5 linked regions of the Mus musculus genome follow. The protein of the gene in region 5 interacts with the protein of the main gene of each other region in a pairwise test. Links are inferred from orthologs where the notes say so. Each region holds a gene or a part of one and is shown on either strand. Other genes may lie near its edges.

The links.
Region 1: the proteins of Boll (region 5) and Tfg interact in binary tests that used the Homo sapiens proteins (3 or more experiments, as listed by UniProt). The two-hybrid records come from large-scale screens. The link is inferred for Mus musculus from reciprocal best matches to the Homo sapiens genes BOLL and TFG.
Region 2: the proteins of Boll (region 5) and Rbfox2 interact in binary tests that used the Homo sapiens proteins (3 or more experiments, as listed by UniProt). The two-hybrid records come from large-scale screens. The link is inferred for Mus musculus from reciprocal best matches to the Homo sapiens genes BOLL and RBFOX2.
Region 3: the proteins of Boll (region 5) and CK137956 interact in binary tests that used the Homo sapiens proteins (3 or more experiments, as listed by UniProt). The two-hybrid records come from large-scale screens. The link is inferred for Mus musculus from reciprocal best matches to the Homo sapiens genes BOLL and C1orf94.
Region 4: the proteins of Boll (region 5) and Zfp385c interact in a two-hybrid assay, tested with the Homo sapiens proteins (2 studies listed by BioGRID). The two-hybrid records come from large-scale screens. The link is inferred for Mus musculus from reciprocal best matches to the Homo sapiens genes BOLL and ZNF385C.

Annotation. Positions count from the first base shown.
Region 1 is NC_000082.6:56,689,829-56,693,466, reverse strand, and holds the end of Tfg (protein TFG), read left to right. Parts: intron 1-1,550; coding exon of another isoform or gene 1,551-1,585; exon of another isoform or gene 1,586-1,591; intron 1,592-2,313; coding exon 2,314-2,696; 3' UTR 2,697-3,138; downstream 3,139-3,638. UniProt on the Homo sapiens protein: Plays a role in the normal dynamic function of the endoplasmic reticulum (ER) and its associated microtubules. Required for secretory cargo traffic from the endoplasmic reticulum to the Golgi apparatus.
Region 2 is NC_000081.6:77,132,542-77,136,057, forward strand, and holds part of Rbfox2 (RNA binding protein fox-1 homolog 2), read right to left. Parts: intron 401-3,516; coding exon 176-400; intron 1-175. UniProt on the Homo sapiens protein: RNA-binding protein that regulates alternative splicing events by binding to 5'-UGCAUGU-3' elements. Prevents binding of U2AF2 to the 3'-splice site.
Region 3 is NC_000070.6:127,968,033-127,972,086, forward strand, and holds the start of CK137956 (uncharacterized protein C1orf94 homolog), read right to left. Parts: upstream 2,810-4,054; 5' UTR 2,803-2,809; coding exon 2,489-2,802; intron 1-2,488.
Region 4 is NC_000077.6:100,630,245-100,633,472, forward strand, and holds part of Zfp385c (zinc finger protein 385C), read right to left. Parts: intron 2,616-3,228; coding exon 2,450-2,615; intron 556-2,449; coding exon 244-555; intron 1-243.
Region 5 is NC_000067.6:55,360,946-55,365,157, forward strand, and holds the start of Boll (protein boule-like), read right to left. Parts: upstream 2,809-4,212; 5' UTR 2,375-2,808; coding exon 2,354-2,374; intron 1,784-2,353; exon of another isoform or gene 1,537-1,783; intron 1-1,536. UniProt on the Homo sapiens protein: Probable RNA-binding protein, which may be required during spermatogenesis. May act by binding to the 3'-UTR of mRNAs and regulating their translation.

The sequences.
Region 1 (3,638 bases), on a different chromosome or scaffold from region 5:
TTTCTCAGTTGTCCCTGTTGCTGCTGCACTTTGGCACTGCTGAGAGTAGAGTGAGTAGTTGGAAAGTGAGAGAAGCAGTGTAGCCCACAGCACCTAAAATATTTACTATCTGGCCCTTTAAATGATCTTTTATTGGTCCAGACAGTTGCTGATTGCTAACCTAGACTACAAAATTTTGTCATTACTAAAGTTTGGTATATTTTTACACAAAGAATAATTTTTGGGGTTTTTGCTGTAGAGTGATTTTATTTTATAGTTGTTAGATCTGATTGCAAAAAACAGATGAATTGATTTTAAAGGAAATGCCATTTGAGTGTGTTATTCTATTAAGCAAAAAAAAAAAAGTATATGGTACAAATTGTATAACATATAGACATTGCTTGGAGGTGGGCCTTAGGCTTTGGTATTTTAAAGGCATCACAGGTTACGTAGCCACAGTGAGGACCACTGATGTTGTTCTACTCTTTTATAAGTGGCTTTTCAAGCCATGCAGATATTCAGCGAGGAGGCTGAACAGAATGGTTCTCTTGTCTTTATACCGTTTTATAGTCTCCAATCTAGACTTGAGTGGTCAGTATCTTAGGCTTAGTTGTAGCTATTTATGGATTTTAAAAAATATCTATTACCTATTTTGTTGCAATTTGTAATATTTTCCACCTAACGTTACTCATTTTAGGAGTGTTAGGAGGGTGTAGAAATGGAGACAAATAGACCTAATAGAGCAGTATTGCTGCTACTGAAATGGTCTTGTTAGCACGTAAAGTTTAGATTTCAGGTGTAGGATGGAAAGATAGTTTTATTGCTTTCCTCTCAATTGGAATAGTCATTTTCAATATAAAAGTATTCCCCCAAAACTTAAAGTAAAAAGTTAACATTTGAAAGTTTTTGTCAGGGCTGACAAGTTGGCTCAGAAATTGCTAGCACTTGCTGTCTTCCAGAGTAACTGGGCTCAGATTTTAGCATCCATAATGATGGCAGTTCACAGCCATCAGACATGTCCATGCCCTCCCTCTTCTGCCTTTCATGGGTAGCTACACAACACACACACACACAATATTTAAGTTTAGTATGGAAGACGGGAGAAATTAATGACATCCAAGATCTTATAAATTTATTTTAATTCAGTATTCAGGAACTACCATGAGTGAATTACAACTTAATACCTAAGCTTTTTCTGGGAAGTTTAAGACAGGGTTTTCACAGAGTAAAATTTAGTGCTTTTCAAATTGCCTCTGTATTTCTGATCCTGCTAGTTCTATTTCCTTGACTTCAAGAGCTATGGAAATAGATAACTAACTACTCTGCATGGAGACTTGCTGGTTGGTAGTGACATTGACCAATCTCTCATACTTTTGGTTTGCCAGTTTTCCCTCTGACCTTTTCCAGTTTTGTTCATAAAGGTTTCTTTCATAAGTAAATTTTGAACCCAGGTTCAAGGTGAGTTCAGAATATATACTCAAATTCATTCAATCCTTTTTTTTTTTCTTCTAAATGCAGGGTTGTACACATTTTAATAATTGTCTTATGTATCTGGTATTTAATGCTGACAGGATTCCAGTCAATGGAGAGGTTTCATTGCAAGTAGCTGCAGGTGTGTTTCATAGTAGAGATAAAAGTTTTCAGTGAAGCAGATTTTATTTTTTATTATATTCTAGTAAATAATGAATATAGATGTTGATTAAGTGGGACAATATGATTTGTTTTTTGTTTTATTATGCCATGCTAAGTCAAAATTTGAGTTTTAAAGGCAAAAGTATCAGGTACCAAATATAAAGGATTTAAGAACTATAAACATAGTAGTCATTATTCCTAGATATTATAGTGAATTAATTTATATAAAACAATGTATATGAAGAGTGTTTGTAGCACTGTTTCACTTATAAAGCACTTGTCTGTAATGGGATTTCATGTGGTACTGTTAAATAGGATTTCCCTTTAAACCTAATTAATGACTACTTTGCTTTTATGATTTTCGTCTTCCTAGAAAGTGTAATTATTTCACCTATTTGAGCATTCATTCTAGGAATTTTGTGCAAATGGGAACTTGCTCAAGGGTTATTATTAGTTTCAAAGCAGTTGTAATGAAAATACATGCTTATAGTGACTTGAATTTTAGGCTATAGAATTTAAAAAGTGTCTGGAAAAATTTTGTAACTCTTTGGTTTTGAGATGTTTTATGCTGGACTCACTACATAATTATGAATATATTTGTTAATTTTTTAATCATTTTTGGTCCATAGCAATAAGACTAAGTCTCTGGAAAACTTTCACCAAAAAACCCAAAACATTTGTTATGTATTTTGCTTTTTTCAGCTAGTTACAGCCAGCAGACTGGACCCCAACAACCTCAGCAGTTCCAGGGATATGGCCAACAACCAACTTCCCAGGCACCGGCTCCTGCCTTTTCTGGCCAGCCACAACAACTGCCTGCTCAACCACCACAGCAGTACCAGGCGAGCACTTACCCTCCACAAACGTATACTACCCAACCATCTCAGCCTGCCAACTATACTGTTCCCCCTGGCTCTCAGCCTGGAATGGCTCCAAGCCAACCTGGTGCTTACCAACCAAGACCAGGTTTTACGCCATCTCCTGCAAGTACCATGACCCCTCCTTCTAGTGGGGCTAACCCTTATGCTCGTAACCGTCCTCCTTTTGGTCAGGGGTATGCCCAACCTGGACCTGGTTATCGATAAGGAGGTTCAGCCACACTAATAATAATGGCTGATTGCCTCCCAAAAGACTATACAATACTATTTTGTTTCAATTTGTATTGTATTGAAGTTTAAAAATTTAAAAAGCAGAGCATTTTTTTATGATATCATTGTTGCTGTTAATTGAAAATATAATTTACCAGAATACAGACACAAAAAGACCAAAATGAATATTGTTTCCTCCCCTGCTTAAAATTGTAGCCGCTTCCTAGTTATTTTGGAACACTACTCTTACATGCGTGTAAAATGATTGGCTTTCTAGTTTCCCAGAGAATATTAAAAAGCTAGGCTAAGGTATAGCCATCACACTTGGCTATTTACTGTTAACATGATGTACTAAAAATAGAGCCCTCTGAGAAGATGACTAGACATTATGTATAAAATGTAACATTGATAGGCTAATAAAGGTGATTGAATCCAACTGTGGTCTTGTTGCCTAATTATTTAAGACATAAAGAAAATAGTCATTTTACAGAATTAATGAAATTGATTTCCATTCATATAATAAATTTGATTGACTTAGACTATAAATACAGTATGGGTTCAGTAGCTCTTCATTTTATGATTTTTCCTTACGGCGATAAAGGTATATTTACATATTGGCAAACTATTCAGAATGTTTTTAAAAACCTACTTTTTATTGCAGTGTTTATACTTGTTTGAAAATACAAAATACTGTAGCATTGATAAAACTGAAGCATGTTGAAAGATACATACAGAGAAAAGTCTTTTCAGGGCAAGCAATAATTTTCTTGGCTCCCTCCCACACATGAAGGAAAGCAATGCTTTTTTTTTCCCCCATGAAATGAGTCTGTTTTGTTACAGCTTAAGTAAACAGTTTCACAAAAACATTCTGTAATACATTCATTCATGGCCTAAGCATATAAATATATCATATATCCTATAAAACAATAGCTTCTCACC
Region 2 (3,516 bases), on a different chromosome or scaffold from region 5:
AGTAGCGAGGTTTAGTTCAAGCTCCCCACTGTCCAGCCACAAGGCTTAGGAAAGAACAGTCAGTACATGCATGCTGGGCAGTGAGTAGAAATGCTAAACTAACTCAAAGCGCTTTCTTTCCGAGAAGGTAAAAATTTCACACGTCCTTCTACCTTGCATCTCCGACTTCACATACCGTGAGAGATCCATTCTGGTTGCTGGGTGAATTGCTACTCTGTTCTCCATGAGGCTGCGTACTCCCGTAGAGGGTCAGGTTATGTTCACTGGTCTGGCCGGCATAGTCCTGAGTGTGTGGCACTCCATATTCTGTGGGAATTCCATTTTGTGGAGGTGGTGGGAACGGGATGGTAGTAAAAGGCTGAACCATTGCGTCAGGAGTTGTTGTTGGCTCCTGGTTACCCTAGAGCAAGCAACAGAAAAGAAAGAGGAGTGAGTGAATAAATCTTTATCACACAGGACTCTTAGCATGTTCTCTCACTATCCCCCGCTCAGGAAGAAACTGCTAGGATCATCAGATAACTTCATTCTTTAAAAAATATCAACTGATAAAACTTAATTTTATGTGTGCTTTGCCTGTGAGCATTATGGTATGGTGTGGAGTTAGGACAACTTGATTCTACATCCTCCTTCAACATGAGTCCCTGGGATCAAACTCAGATTTGGTGATAAGTACCTTTCTTTACCTGATGAGCCATCTTGATAGCCAAGAGCTTAATATTTGATCATCTCTTCCAAATCATTTGGTGCTCTGCCTGTACCCATAGTTGGTGGCAGAATATACTGCTTCCAAGGTCAAGACTGATTAGCATTTAAACAGGTGTGCAACAGACAAAAATTCAAACTAAGGTAGACTAATAGATGAGCAGAGCCTAAGGATTGCCTTTCAGAAATCTTCAGAAAGGGTCTATTAAGAAACATATGAAGCTTTAAAGACACAGTTTCCAAGTTTAGATTAGGACCAAGGAACTTGCCTCTGTCTCTGACGCTGCTCTTCTTGAACTCTAACCGCCATTCTCCACCCCATCCCTGATGGGAGTGAGACTGTGGTCCACAAGCAAACAGCATCAATCATCCCACAGGGCCATTTCTGCCAGAGCTGGCCCAGTCAACTGAACAAACACATCAACTAGTGGTGGGGATTGGGAGCAGGAAATGCTTCTAGGGTATACCCATAGTCTAGGCACAGCGAGATGTAACCACGGTAGGACTGTCGCCCATAAGAGGGTGCAATCCTCCATCAGGGAACAGGGCTCCTGTTGACTTAGGGAAATGTGACTGATAGCAACACTTACACAGCTGTCTATATGCTAAGACAACAGACCTGGCCGGACAGTGGTGGTGCACACCTTTAATCCCAGCACTTGGGAGGCAGGGACAGTCTGATTTCTGAGTTCAAGGCCAGCCTGGTCTACAAAGTGAGTTCCAGGGCTACACAGAGAAACCCTACCTCAAAAAATCAAAAATCAAAAACCAAAACCAAAACCAAAACCAAACCAAAAAGACAACAGACCTGGAGTAATGCTTTATGTTTTATAGCAATCACTCTACCACATATATTATGGCTATTGTTTTTATTAGAAATATGAAGTCATTTAACATTCTTAATAAAAATAATATAAGAATGTTTTCTAATCAATTTTCAGTTCACATTTCAAAGTTTTAAGTTGAAAGGGAAATACAACAGCTCCCAGCCAACTTATGACAGTTGATAGGATTGCTTCTACATCATGAAATGCTTTTAAAATATTTGTATTATTTTTAAAATGTATGTGTATGTATATATCTGTATATGTCCTTACAGAAGCCAGAAGAGGGCGCCAGACATTCAGGAGCTGAAGTTACAGGTGGTTGTGAGCTGCTTGATATGGGTGCTGGGAACTCCCTTCAGATTCTCTGGGAGACCAATGCCCTACACTTCTTTCTATTGCTGGGACCAAAACCAACTCAGGGGAGAAAAGAGTTCATTTCACTTTGCAGTTCATAGTCTGTCATGGAGGCAAGACAGAGCACCGGACTTAATCAAGTGGTAAAGAATATTCTTGACATCAACCTTGGACTTCCACATGAATGTGCACGCATATCCACGTGCACCCACTACATAAGAGCACACAGACGCAGGCAGGCAAGCAGGCGTTCACACACGAGCGTGTGCACGCACCCACCCACCCACACAGACACACACAGACACACCCAGGCACACAGCTCTAAAAGCAATTTTGTTTGTAGGGCTTAAGAAATGGCTCATCAGTTAAACGCAGGTAAGGACCTAGAGGCAGGAACTGATAGAGGAGCATTACTTACTGGCTCGCTCCTCATTGCTTGTTTGGCCTGCTTTCTTGTACAACCCAGGGCCACCTACCCAGGGTGTCACCACGCACAGTGATTAATCAAAAAAAAAAAAAAAAAAAAAAAAAAAAGGCCTATAGTCATGTTTCCAGGTCAGTTTGAGAGAGGCAATTCCTCAACTGATACCTCTTCCCATAGAACTCTAGTTTGTGTCAATCTGACAAGGAACAACCAGCAAGTATTCGTTACACACCTCCGGCCCCTATGCTTTATATTCTAGGCTAGGCAGCTAAGCACATAACACCTGGAAAGGTGAATTATTACCATCTTTCTAGGATGAAGTCCATGCAATGTAGAAAGAGAAGGTATTTTTATTGTTGTCTTCCCATTCCTTTCTCAACTTCATTCTAATTTTTCCATTTGGTAATCTTGACTCCAATTTACAGGCATAACCTAAACAGCAGCCTGCAAATTCTAAAGGCAGCCCATTCAGACAGTCTCTCAATCACAAAAAGAAGTACTTGAAAGAATATTCCCCAGTTTAACTAGGATGCCAAAAATATTTCTGCTTTTAAGCATTTTACAAGCGTCATTTTTATTCCCTGGGAGCTTAGGTAGGCTCAGATTTCAAACTTGGCCTGCCTTTCTAAAACCAACCAGTCACTGGGAAGATGGTTCAGTTGTTGAAGTACTTGGAGCTGGGCAGGCAGAGGCAGGAGGATCCCTGGAATTGCTGGCCAGCCAGTCTTGCCAAAAGGTGAGCTACAGGTTTGTACTGGCTAGTTTTGTGTGTCAATTTGACACAGGCTGGAGTTATCACAAAGAAAGGAGCTTCACTTGGGGAAATGCCTCCATGAGATCCAGCTGTAAGGCATTTTCTCAATTAGTGATCAAGGGGGGAGGTCCCCTTGTGGGTAGTGCCATCTCTGGGCTGGTAGTCTTGGTTCTATAAGAGATCAGGCTGAGCAAGCCAGGGGAGGCAAACCAGTAAAGAACATCCCTCCATGGCCTCTGCAACAGCTCCTGCTTCCTGACCTGTTTGAGTTCCAGTCCTGACTTCCTTTGGTGATGAACAGCAATGTGGAAGTGTAAGCTGAGGAAACCCTTTCCTCCTCAAGTGCTTCTTGGCCATGATGTTTGTGCAGGACTAGAAACCCTGACTAAGACAAGGTTCCATTAGAGATCCTGTCTCGAAACTAAGGTGGAAAGCAACTGAAGAAGACATTGAAC
Region 3 (4,054 bases), on a different chromosome or scaffold from region 5:
AGGCTGGAAGTTTGAGCTCATCCTGGCATGTATAATGAGTTCCAGGACAGTCTGGGCTGCATAGTGAGAGCCTATCTCAAGAAAACAAACAAATAACCGAGGTTGGGTCTCATTTAAAGAGGGGGAGAGGAACAGTTAAAACCAGAACAGTACAGTTTGGTAATTATGGAAATTTATATCTACACACACTTGGACTCTCACTACCTCAGGCAAAAACTGCAGGGTTTACAGAAATTATAACTGCTGTCATTAGAATGAGTTTATCAATCCTATTTACCAGCAGGACCCTAGAACAGTCCTCCTGATTTGCCACCTCCAGCCACCCCTACCCTCACCCCCACTCAGCAGACAAGGAAACCAAAGCTCAGATCGATCTCACAGCCAGCACAGGGCTGGACCTGGTTATCACAGTCTCAGGTTCTAAAGCCAGCACTGGGCTGGACCTGGTTATCTTTCGTTCCAAGAAGCAGCTGCTAGCTCGCTCTCTGGCCCACTCACTGTGTTCTACTGGGTGGATAGCGATACAATTAGAATGTGGTCTATTCATCTAAGTCAGCAGATTCCCACATCTCCTCTCAGAACTCTTCCAAGTGCAACTGTACTCAGAACTCCAGTTAATAAAGCTGACAAACACCTAAAGAACTCAGGCTGAAACGAGTGCAAGTGTGAGCGTGTATGTGTGTGTGTGTGTGTGTGTGTGTGTGTGTGTGTGTGTGTGTGTGTAGGTGTAGAAGAGAACTGTCCAGCCAAGAGCCCACTTGACTCCAGGGAGGCTCTCTGAAGGCTCCTGGGATCGTGGAGCACAACACCAAAACCCTAGATGAAGCCAACTAAGTAGCCTCCCCTCCCCCAAATTAGATGAACTCCACATTAAGGCAGCCTTGTTTGTATAATGCATCTTTCATTTCTTTGTTTCCCATCACATTCAGCCCTCGTTATCAACTCAGAGGTGGACAAGGCAGGGCGCATCATCCTTAATTTGCAGATGAGGAATTCAAAGCCAAATGGAGAGAAGCGACCGGCCAGAGGTATTCCAGGTCAATTTCCGGCCAAGTGCAGACTGGAAGTAGAGTCTGTCTCCATGAATTCGGTGTGACCTGGCAGGGAAGGGGCTATCTACTGGAAATTGCTGCTGACCTTTGATCCAGAAAGTGGACAATCAGCTACTTGGCCACTGAGAGAGCTGAGTGTAGCCCCAAGGTTCCCTGTGCCAAGGCACTGTCCCAAAGCAGATGGCAGTGAACGGGGCAAAGGAGCCCAGTGCCACTGAGCAGACTAGCCACAGGATTCTGGCTGTAGAGAGGCCATTTGCATCGGAGCCGGGTCCTGCTGAGCACAGGGCAGAGGAGGCAGGAGCAGGCAGCATGCCTTCCGCCTTCATCTGCAGCAAGCAAAGGCGCTTGCAAAGGGACTGCTGCAGCAAGAGCAGACCTGAGCATCAGCTCGACTTTGCTTTCCACCTCAGTGATGCTTAGAGAGCCCTGAAACCAGAGGCAGCTGATAAATGCCTGGATGATGTGCCCCCCCCCCCCCCACACACACACTGCAGAGCATCTATGAACTGAGTCGGAGCATGTGTTGAGGGCAGACAACACTTAATTATCACTTAGGCTTTAATTAGCACTTAATTATTAACACTTAATCCATCTGTAAAATGGGGACACTAATACCTGTTTCATAGGGATGCTGGGAGGATTAATTAATGCGTGCAGCCCACTTTGAAGATGCAGAGCCTTGGAAGAGTACTCAGCAGCGGCATTAATCACCACAGCTGATGCACTCCTTTTCCTAATGAGATCCTGTCTTCCTCTATGCTCCTTCCTCTCCTTTCCAATGGCTGTCTCCTCAACTTTTCCCTAGTACTGAAACACTTAGCTCTGTGTTTCCCCGACAGGCAGGGGATTTCCCATTTGGGAAACCGGCTATTTACAGCCATCTTCCGCACTTTAATTTTCTATTATGTCCTCTGAATATGTCAATGCCTTCCCAGTAAATATTTTGATGTGCGCTCTTGCAGTAGCTCTGTGGATGCTGAATGGGACAGCTGCTCTCTGTATTAGGGGATTCCAGATGTGGTTTCCAACCACCAGGATCATCTGTGCCAATGCCTGGACTTTTCTTGGGAAAGGGCTAAAGATCATCTAGCTGCCTCTGGGGGCAGTAGTGAGTCACCTAACCCTTAGGTTGGCAATAATGCTCCTGCAAAGACCCCAGATCTTTATCTTAGCCACGTATGTCTTTAGAATGAAAAATGTCTCCTTAGGCGCTGAAAAAGAAGCTGCCAGGAATGGTTTCTTTCCTCCCGTCTGGAACTTCAGGACCTTGGCCAGCTCCTCCGACCGAAAGTGACTCGAGATTACAGAAATGGGGATGGGGAGGAGATATGTGTGCAGGGCTTAACACTGGGCCAGAGCATTTCAACCCAAAGTCAGACTTCATTTCCCCTTTCTCCCTTTCTTGATTATCAACCAAACAGGGGACTACTCACTCTTCTTGGAAGCTGACAGCTGCGGTCACGGGAGCAGAGTGCTTCTCCAGCGAGGTCCTGGGCTGCAGGGATTCTGGCAAGCCCTGAACTCGCTTCCAGATGTCATGGCAAATCTTGTCTAAGCTATCCTGGGGTGTGTCCTGGTGGATCCAGACATATCTGGGGAATGGCCCCAGGGCGGAGGGACGCTTGGCCACGAGGGCTGAGGATGGAGGGAGCCCATTTCCGCTGGCCATCCTCTTTCTTTCTTTCCGGAAGCCCCTTTGTCCACCCAGGGCTGGGAGACAAAGGGACTGTGGTCCACCAGCCCTCATTCACCAGAAAGGGAGCTGAAGACAGGGCCGGGGAAGTAGTCAGTTCTGGCTGGCTGTTGCTCCAGCCAAGGGATGGGTTTCAGAGGCCTTTGGATGGGGTAGGGATGAGGGGTAGAGGGCAACTTTCTTTTGGGGAGGGGGGCTTAAGTTGACTTGTTTCTATTTGCTCTTTCCTGGCTTTTGCCCCCCTCCCCCTCTCCCGTAGAAGAAAATATTTAAAAGTCAACAAAAACCAGTAACTTAGTAACCGTGGAATGCCCCGGAACTCAGGAACCAAGCGCCTGGGCGGGCAGAATGACATCTGGGAACGACTGGAGGGGAGGACTGGCTCTCCCCACAAAACCCAGCACTCCCCAGTTGTGACACCCCTGTGACACCTTTCAGGGCCTGGGACTCCTTTCAGGGCCTGGGAATCAGCCCATTCTAGCCTGCCAAGCCACCAGAAGGGCAGGATAAGGGTCAGACACTACACTAGACTGGGAGGGGGCGGGCCATGGGACTGTCTCCTCCTGCCTTCCCTAAGGTTCGGTGTACACGGAGGGCTAACGGCCCTCGACCACTGCAGGTCCTGGCTTTAGCTCTCCCGACTGCCCCCTTCTGTCCCTCTCTCTGCTACTGCTGCTCTGCCTCCCCAAAAAGAGATCTCCAATGCGGTGCTGTGCTAGTAGTCAGTCGGCCTGGCCCAGGTCCTCAGCAAACACTTGTCGTGTCCCCGCGCAGAGCTGCGACCCGCACCGCAGAGGGTCCCAACCCTTAAAAGGGCTCCGATTGGGCAGGGCAGGCCCGGGCGGGGTCAGCGGATTTGCGTGTCAGTCGCTCCCACACTCCTGCCGTCGAGAGCTGGGATTCTTTCAGTGGGTTCAAGCGCAACGGCTGGGTGCGTGGGAAGTCGTGGGAGGGCGGCACGGGCCGGGCGTTCGTCTCCTAAGACCCGCAGGTGGAGTGGGGGCGGGGTGCAACTGGCAAAACCCCAGGGAGCTTCCTCTTAGAAGGAAGTTTCCATCTCATTTCCATTTCACCACTGCATACAACCTCAGAGGTTGTCTAGAAGTGGGGGACCCTGCCCCTTTGTCCGCTGGCTTTAATCCTAACTGCCATCCCCTGAGAACACCTAAGGCCGAGGGCTGGCTTCAAACCTGATCTTGTTCGCTCTCGCGAGCTCGTACTCCTTTTCATTCGGCGCACAGGATGGGAGGAAACTGAGTCTCCAAGTTACAAATGGCTGTGTCCTGAGTTCAAGAAGCGAAGCTCG
Region 4 (3,228 bases), on a different chromosome or scaffold from region 5:
CCTTAGGGAAGATGGCCTTTTAAAATAGACAGCTGGGAAAAAGTCCCTTCCTTTTGATCCAAGGAGTATGGAGGAGGGTACTCCAGGCCCTTAGTGACCTTCAGTTCTGGTTGCTGCAGACTTCTCCTCCCAATGCCCCTCCCTTGGGACGAAGAGAAGGACCCAGAAATGTCTTTGTAGTAACAGTGGGTAGGTTCCTCTGTCACCTGGCCATGAATGACATGGCACCCGGGAAGCACTGACCTGTGTTGTGAGCCTGAAGCTGAGAGGCGGAGTTCACTGTCACTTTACAGGTAGGGCAGTAGAGGCGTCCCTTCTCGCCCCTGCCCTCCCCATTCACTCCACTTCCCACGGCCCCTTCTGCTGGCTCAGGCCCTGGTGCTTCCCTGCTGGGATCCGGGGAGCAGGGTGGGCAGGAAGAGGAGGAAGACGAAGCAGCAGCATCACAAAGTTCGGAGTGGACGGGGTCTCCGGCTGAGTGGACGGGGTCTCCGGCTGATGGGTCCGGGGTCGGCGGGAGCTGAAGTGAAGGGCCAAGAGGAGGGGATGCAGGACCTGCAAGGACATGGGACATATGGGGAGATTTGGACCTCTGAGGCGCAACACTGACATGGTGATAGAATGGGAGGCTGGAAGGCTTCCTGGTAAAGGACAGCTAGCACTCAATTCTGGGTTCACCCTGCCACCAACTCACTAGGCAAACTTGAGCCTCAGTTTCCCTGTATAAAAAATCATAAAATCGGCCTGGTGTGGTGGTGCACGCCTTTAATCCCAGCATTGGGGAGGCAGAGGCAGGCAGATTTCTGAGTTCGAGGCCAGCCTGGCCTACAAAGTGAGTTCCAGGATAGCCAGGGCTATACAGAGAAATCCTGTCTCAAAAAACCAAACCAAAAAAAAAAAAAATCATAAAATCGGACAGAATTGGTCACACTTTCAGTCTAATGTTCTAGCTCCTCAGTATTGAGTAAGTAGAAGTCACCAGAAAGATGTGCTAGAATGTTTTAGTATTATAATAGCATTAAACTGGAAATTGGTGAGATCCATCATACAGGTGAATGGTAATCTATCTTTGAGGCAGAGAACACAGCACAGGAAAGGAAAATGACCACATGTAAACTCAGAAATGATGGGTGTTAGTGGAGGTTTTAGGGGGAATGTTGTTTTTTGTCAGAGTCTAGTGTATCTCAGGCTGGCCATGAACTCACTATATAGCTGAGGATACCCTTGAACTAGATTTCTAGCCTGCCTGCCTCCACCTCGCAAATGCTGTGATCATGGGTCCGTGCCACTATTCCCAGTTCCGTGGTGGTATTAGGAATCAAACTCCGGGACTTCCCAAGTGGTCTGCAAGTACTGTACCCACTGAGGTAGACTCCCAACCCCCTGTCCTTTCTTTTCTGAGTCAGGGTCTTACAGAACCTTAGCTAGCCTTAAATTTGATGTGTATTCCAGACTGACCTGGAACTCTGAATTCTCCTTCCTCCGTCTCTAAGGAGTGTAGGGGACAGTGGTACCCATTAGCTGAGACAGGAGCTTCTCCCTCTGGCCCCCAGGTTAAAAAAAAAAAAAAACCCAAACCTACCCACATCTGAATGCAGACCTCTGACCTCTAGATTGTGGAGAAAATACACTTCTATTGTTTCAGCCACCTACTTTGTAGCCTTGTGTTCTGCCAGCCTTAGGGAACCAACACAGGGAGTAGTTGAATCCTAGCTCAGGCTAGGTGTGCTGGCAGCACGTTGCCTGATCCAGAGTCAGCCTGAGGAAGGAACAGTATAGGTGTCTGCCAATGTCTGTATATTAGGGGTCATTTTTTTTAGCAGGAAATATGGTGAAAAGCTAAAGAGATGGCTCAGCTGTTAAGAGCATGTACTGTTCTTGCAGCAGATGGGAGTGCAGTCCCCAGAACCCATAACCACTGCTACTCCAGCTCCAGGGACCTCATGACCCCTCCTGGCCTCTGTGTTCCATGAGCACCAACACATTCACACACACACACATACATTCACACACACACATACATTCACACACACACATGCACACACACATTCTCACACATTCACACACACACATTCACATTCACACACACATGCACACACACACACATTCACATACACACATTCACACACACACACACACACACACACACACACACACACACACACACACACCAAAAAATCCCAAGTTAAAAATAAAAAGCCAGGTAGTAGTGGTGCATGCCTTTAATCCCAGCACTGTCATGAGGCAGAGGCAGGTGGATGGATCTCTATAAGTTCAAGGCCAGCCTGGTCTACAGAGTGAGTTCCAGGAAAGCTGAGACTACACAGAAAAACCCTGTCTTGAAAAACCAAACAAAAGAAAAAGGAAAGAAAGATGGTTGAAGAGCCAGAGTCACTCAAGCCGCTGTCAGAAGCCAGCCTCGTTGTGTGAACTTGAAATCAAGACTGACCTTTGCTCTGAGGGGTTCCAGGGCTTCCACTGGCTGGAGGTGAGGCTGAAGACACCACTGTCCCGTTTGTGGTCGGGTTTCGAGGCCTCTGCTTGCTCTTGGCAGCTTCCACAGCCTTGAGTTTTCTGGCGTGTCTGTGGCCCTTGTAATGAGCCTCAGCCTGGTTCTGGAAGAGGGAGGGGAGGGGTCATCTTCTTCCCGTGGGTCTCATGCCTCATCTAGGAGGGAGGCTGAGTAGGGGGATAGGCCAGAGGAATATGTGGTCAAAGGGACGAACACAAGGCTCAGCCACAAAGGGGTGATGTCAGTGTCACCATCATTGCCACATGTATAGAGCCCTGAGGTTTACAACAGAGCTTGTTCTCACACAGGGGCTCCCATGCAGGCAGCCTGCCCTCAGAATCAAACTTGGCCATTTATGTAAGCTCTGCATCTCTAGGCAAGTCACAGCACCTCACTCAAAGGCTGTGTGTGTGTGTGTGTGTGTGTGTGTGTGTGTGTGTGTGTGTGTGTTGAACCTAGAGTTGCACACAAAGCCTTATGACTACTGGGCTCCACTAAGCCACATCTCTCCAACCTTATTTGTTTCTGTGTTCCCAGATCCAGAAGTGTTGAACCCAGGGACATTAACCAAGTGATGCTCTTGGGTGTCTGCCTATATGTACAGAATATTCTGGAAATGGACTACTTACTCTGTGGCCCAGGCTGGCTTTAACTCATAATCCTCCTGCCTCAGCCTCCCGAGTAACAGGACCATAGGTGTGCCCCGCTTGAAGCTT
Region 5 (4,212 bases):
CACTCTACAGAATTGCTTACTATTAAATGTACTACTCAAATGTACTTACATTAATTATGCGATAGGCTATTTGTTAAGGAAGAATACTAAATTCATAAAGAAGTCAAAGAGGGAGAAAAAAAGACTCAGATATCTGGAGAAGCTTTGTCTCAACCATTCTGTCCAGGTGTTAAGTTGGCCTGGCACTCAGTTAGGCAGTGGTGTTCTCTTGTTAACAGAACATCAGCATTAGACAAGGTCACTGTAATTATAATGGAGCAAGATAAAAAAAATTCTTTAATCGTGTCTAAATACCTATAAAAACAAAAGCACTGTCTAAACCACAAGAACTACCAAACATTGCTTAATCCTGGATATTCTGAGCAACTGTTCTCCTTTACCAATCTTACTTTTAAAGCAATAATACACACAACCACAGAAACATTCCCGTTTCCTTACAATACGCATTTCAGGTAAAGCCCTTCTACCTGGAATTCTAAAAGTCTCAAGCCCATTTTGTATAAATTGTGTTCTTAACACCTGAGAGGCCCCATGGTGTACTTTCTTCCTTTGACCAATGACTTCACAGACAACTCAATTACAAATGTGTCTGTGGGCTATAGAATGAGTTCCCAGACAGCCAAGGCTACATAGAGAAACCCTGTCTTGTAAAAAACAAAACAACAAAAAAACCCAAAACAAATTGGTATATATCCATTATGTTTATACTTCTAATTTAGAAGGCTGAACATATCAATATCAGTGCCAATTTATTTCTAGTATAGAATTTGTTAAATAATGATGTCTTCACAAAATTCTGTAAAAACAAAGGAGTTCAATGGAAGTACTAGTTTGTTTTCAAGTTTAAGTAAGAAGACTCCATTTTCCTGTGAGAGGTGGATGAAATCAGTCCCAAGTGAAGAGACCTCAAACACTGAGAAAATGATTTTAAAACAACCAAATCACTTCAGTCCCTGTTTTTAAGGCTCCAGTGTGGATGTTATGGCTTTCTTTCTTATTTTCTAAGATACCACATATATACCTGTAATATATTACTATGCTGTAATATTCATGAAGACAGGATGCTTGCCTATTTTTTTTTTAACTCACTGCGACATGCAAAACAGAAACATCGCATAGCAAGTGTTCAGTGCCTATCTATCTGTTGACTGTATAAACCAGGTTTCAGGAGAGACCTGCTTGGTACTTGGTCAACATTTGGGTAAGGACCGAAGTATCAGTAACATTCTAGAACCCATTTTATGGTTAGAGGCAACAAGGCTCTGACAGAGGTAACATCAAGTTCCTTCGAGGTTAGCACTGAATTTGAGGAGAGGGAACCTCCCACTGTCAACCATTTGAAAGCATGGAGCTAGGAGGCTGCCTGCTCCAGGATCCTTAGTCTGGACCCTCTGCTTCCCCGTAAAGCTCGACCACCAACGAGTTTCTTAAGATGCTCTTCCAAGGTAACATGGCCCTAGTGCCGTCTCCTCTGAGGCTTAACCTCGACCTCGAGATGGATCATCTTTGCAAAGACAAAGGAAGAGGTGGGCTAACCGTCGCAGTCACCGCCTCGGTGCTCCTTCCCCTCGGAGGCCAGCAGGCTGAGGCGATGGGGCAAATGGCCGGATTGACAACGTCCTCGGGTTCTCTCGGGTCATCGTGGACCGGGACACCGACACGAGGGTCTCCCCCCTCCCCACCAAAGTGCGGGAGGGAAAAGAAGGCCAGCCAGCGAGAAATTTTGTCAGGCAAACCCGCCAGCAGCGGTGGCGGGAACCCTCAACGGCACCTACCACGCGCTGGCCGCCTCGTGCAAGGCGGGGCCGCGGCCTTGCGTGGGCGCATGCTGATTGGCTGGCGGCCGGGCACGGGGCGGGGCGCGGCACGTTACCAGGCTGCACTGGGAGGGCGGGGGCGGTGGGGGCCCCTAGGCCCCAGCCGGGCCCAGGCCTGACAGGGCAGCGCGCGTAGCTCAGGCCTTCCCGGGCTCAGGCCTTGCCCCGGGTCGGGGCGTCGACGACGGCCGCGCAACTCGTGCCCGCGAGAACGTGTCCTGAAAAGGGCGAGCCGTCGAGGGCGCCGCCGTCCGGGCGGGAACACTTGAGGGCGGCCGCTCGCTAGGCATGTTTGGCCGATGGCCGTTTCCCCCGAGCTGCCCGTCCGCCCCACCGAGGGCCAGCGCCGCCTCCCCCACCCCCAGCGCCCCTTCTCACACAGCCCGAGGGGCCGCTCTCCTCAGCGGGGCTGCCCGCTGCCCTCCCGCGGCGCGTTCCTTCCCAACCCCACAGCAAGGCTTTCGACTCCAAAGTCCACTCTTTCCAGCCCGTCCGAAGCCGGGCCGCGCAGAGTCCGGCCGGCCCTCAGCACTCACCGCCCGGGACTCGGTCTCCATCTTTCTAATCTCCGGAGTTCGCGGGAAGCTCAAGTTGGAAGGCGCGTTCGCAGGAAGCGAGCCGGCGCGTCTCCCGTCGGGGACTCGCTCCCCCTGGCGGCGACGGCGGCGGCTGCAGTGGCGCAGTCTCCGAGCCGGGCGAGCTGCCCTGTGGGGGCGGGGGAGGCGGGCTGCGCGGCGGCGGTGGCGGTGGCGCTGTGCGCAAGTCCCGGGGCCGCCGGGGCGGCGGCACGGACGGCGCGCACCGCGACTGCCAGCGGCGGCAGGACGGACGGCTGGACGGACGGACGCGAGCACTGCGAGCGGAGGGGAACGCGCCGCGGAAGGCAAGAGCGGCGAGCCTTCCCTGCCCTGGAGGGCCGACCTCTAGGGTCTACTACAGAGAGTGGCCTCTGGGGACTTCCGAAAGCTGGCTCGAAGACAGGAAGACAAGTTCCCACGTGCAAACTCTGCTCCCCCTTCCGGGCGCCACACACAGAAGCAGCGGACGCCTCTGCTCTCAGCACCTGTCGCTGTCGCTGTCACTCATCCCTGCCAGGGAGGGCGGGGCAGCGCAGTTCAGGCCCCTGGTAGGCTAGCTGCCCTGCGCTCCTGGCTAATAATGCATATTTCATCTCAGCACTTGGGAGGCAGAGTAGGAGGATTTCTGAGTTCAGGGTCAGCTTGGTCTATATACCGAGTTCAAGGATAGTTAGTTTAAGGGCTACACAGTGAGACCTTGTCTCCCTCCCTCCCTCCCTCCCTCCCTCCCTCCCTCCCTCCCTCCCTCTCTCCCTCCCACCCCCACTCTCCCATAAAAGAACAAACAAGCAAATAAAATAAAAGTAGGAGAGAGCCTAAGGGAAGGGAACCAGCTTCATTAGACTTGGCCCCATAGCTTTGGGAACTCCGTTCAAAGACTCCTTTGCAAGGACTTTTTAAAAAGTGCCTGAGAGCCTACCTTCTCTCTTAAGTAGTATGTAATTTCTGTTAGATAAATTCATGTAATAAGGACTGTCATTATTATAAGCAACTATCCATCATACACATATCTTGTTTCCGGTGCAGTGCTTTATGGTCATTTCTACTGTAAATAGGTGGCTAAATACTTGGGTCAAAGTCTAAAGCTGTAGCTTTAACCCTAGCGCTCTGCAACCCCGATTCTTCATCTCAATGGGCTGGCTTTTAAGGGCTTTAAGCCATCAGATCAGTATCAGCAACTGTAAAAAGTTACATAACTTGTCCTCAGAGTAAGCAGCAACAATATTAATGTTAATATGTCCAAAGGTTAGTTATCAAGAATAAATATCCAAAAGCTTAGTTATTTACCAAAAATAAGATGGGAAACAATTTTTGTTAATTGTAGAAGCATCCTAGCAGTTGGAATACTTTTCTGCATACAATTTAAACTCATTTTCTCAGGTTTGAGTTTCTGTGGAAAAGGAATAATACACAGATGTGTATTCAGATTTAAGTACATATTCTAGAATTGATTTTTGGGCATTCTATCCCTCCAGTTGTAACTAAGGATTTGATTATTATTTGATTAGTGCTCTTTTCTTCTGAAGTCTTTTTCTTTCCTACTAGAATAGTTACTTTTGAAGGGAGCATCTTCTAAAAAGGCCACTTGTCACAGGAAATACTTGGTCTGACATAATGAACAAACTTGAGGGAACAGTGACTGTGTTAGGGAAGATAGCTACACTCCTCAGTTCAGCTCCTCTTTTACTTCTTATCCAAAAGGAACTTAAAAAATACTTGGCTGAATCACACAAAATTATATTGGATCAACTTAGTAGACAGTACAGTTCTTATGCTCATAATGGGATATGCTGCTGGAAGGCAAAGTTCAGACATTA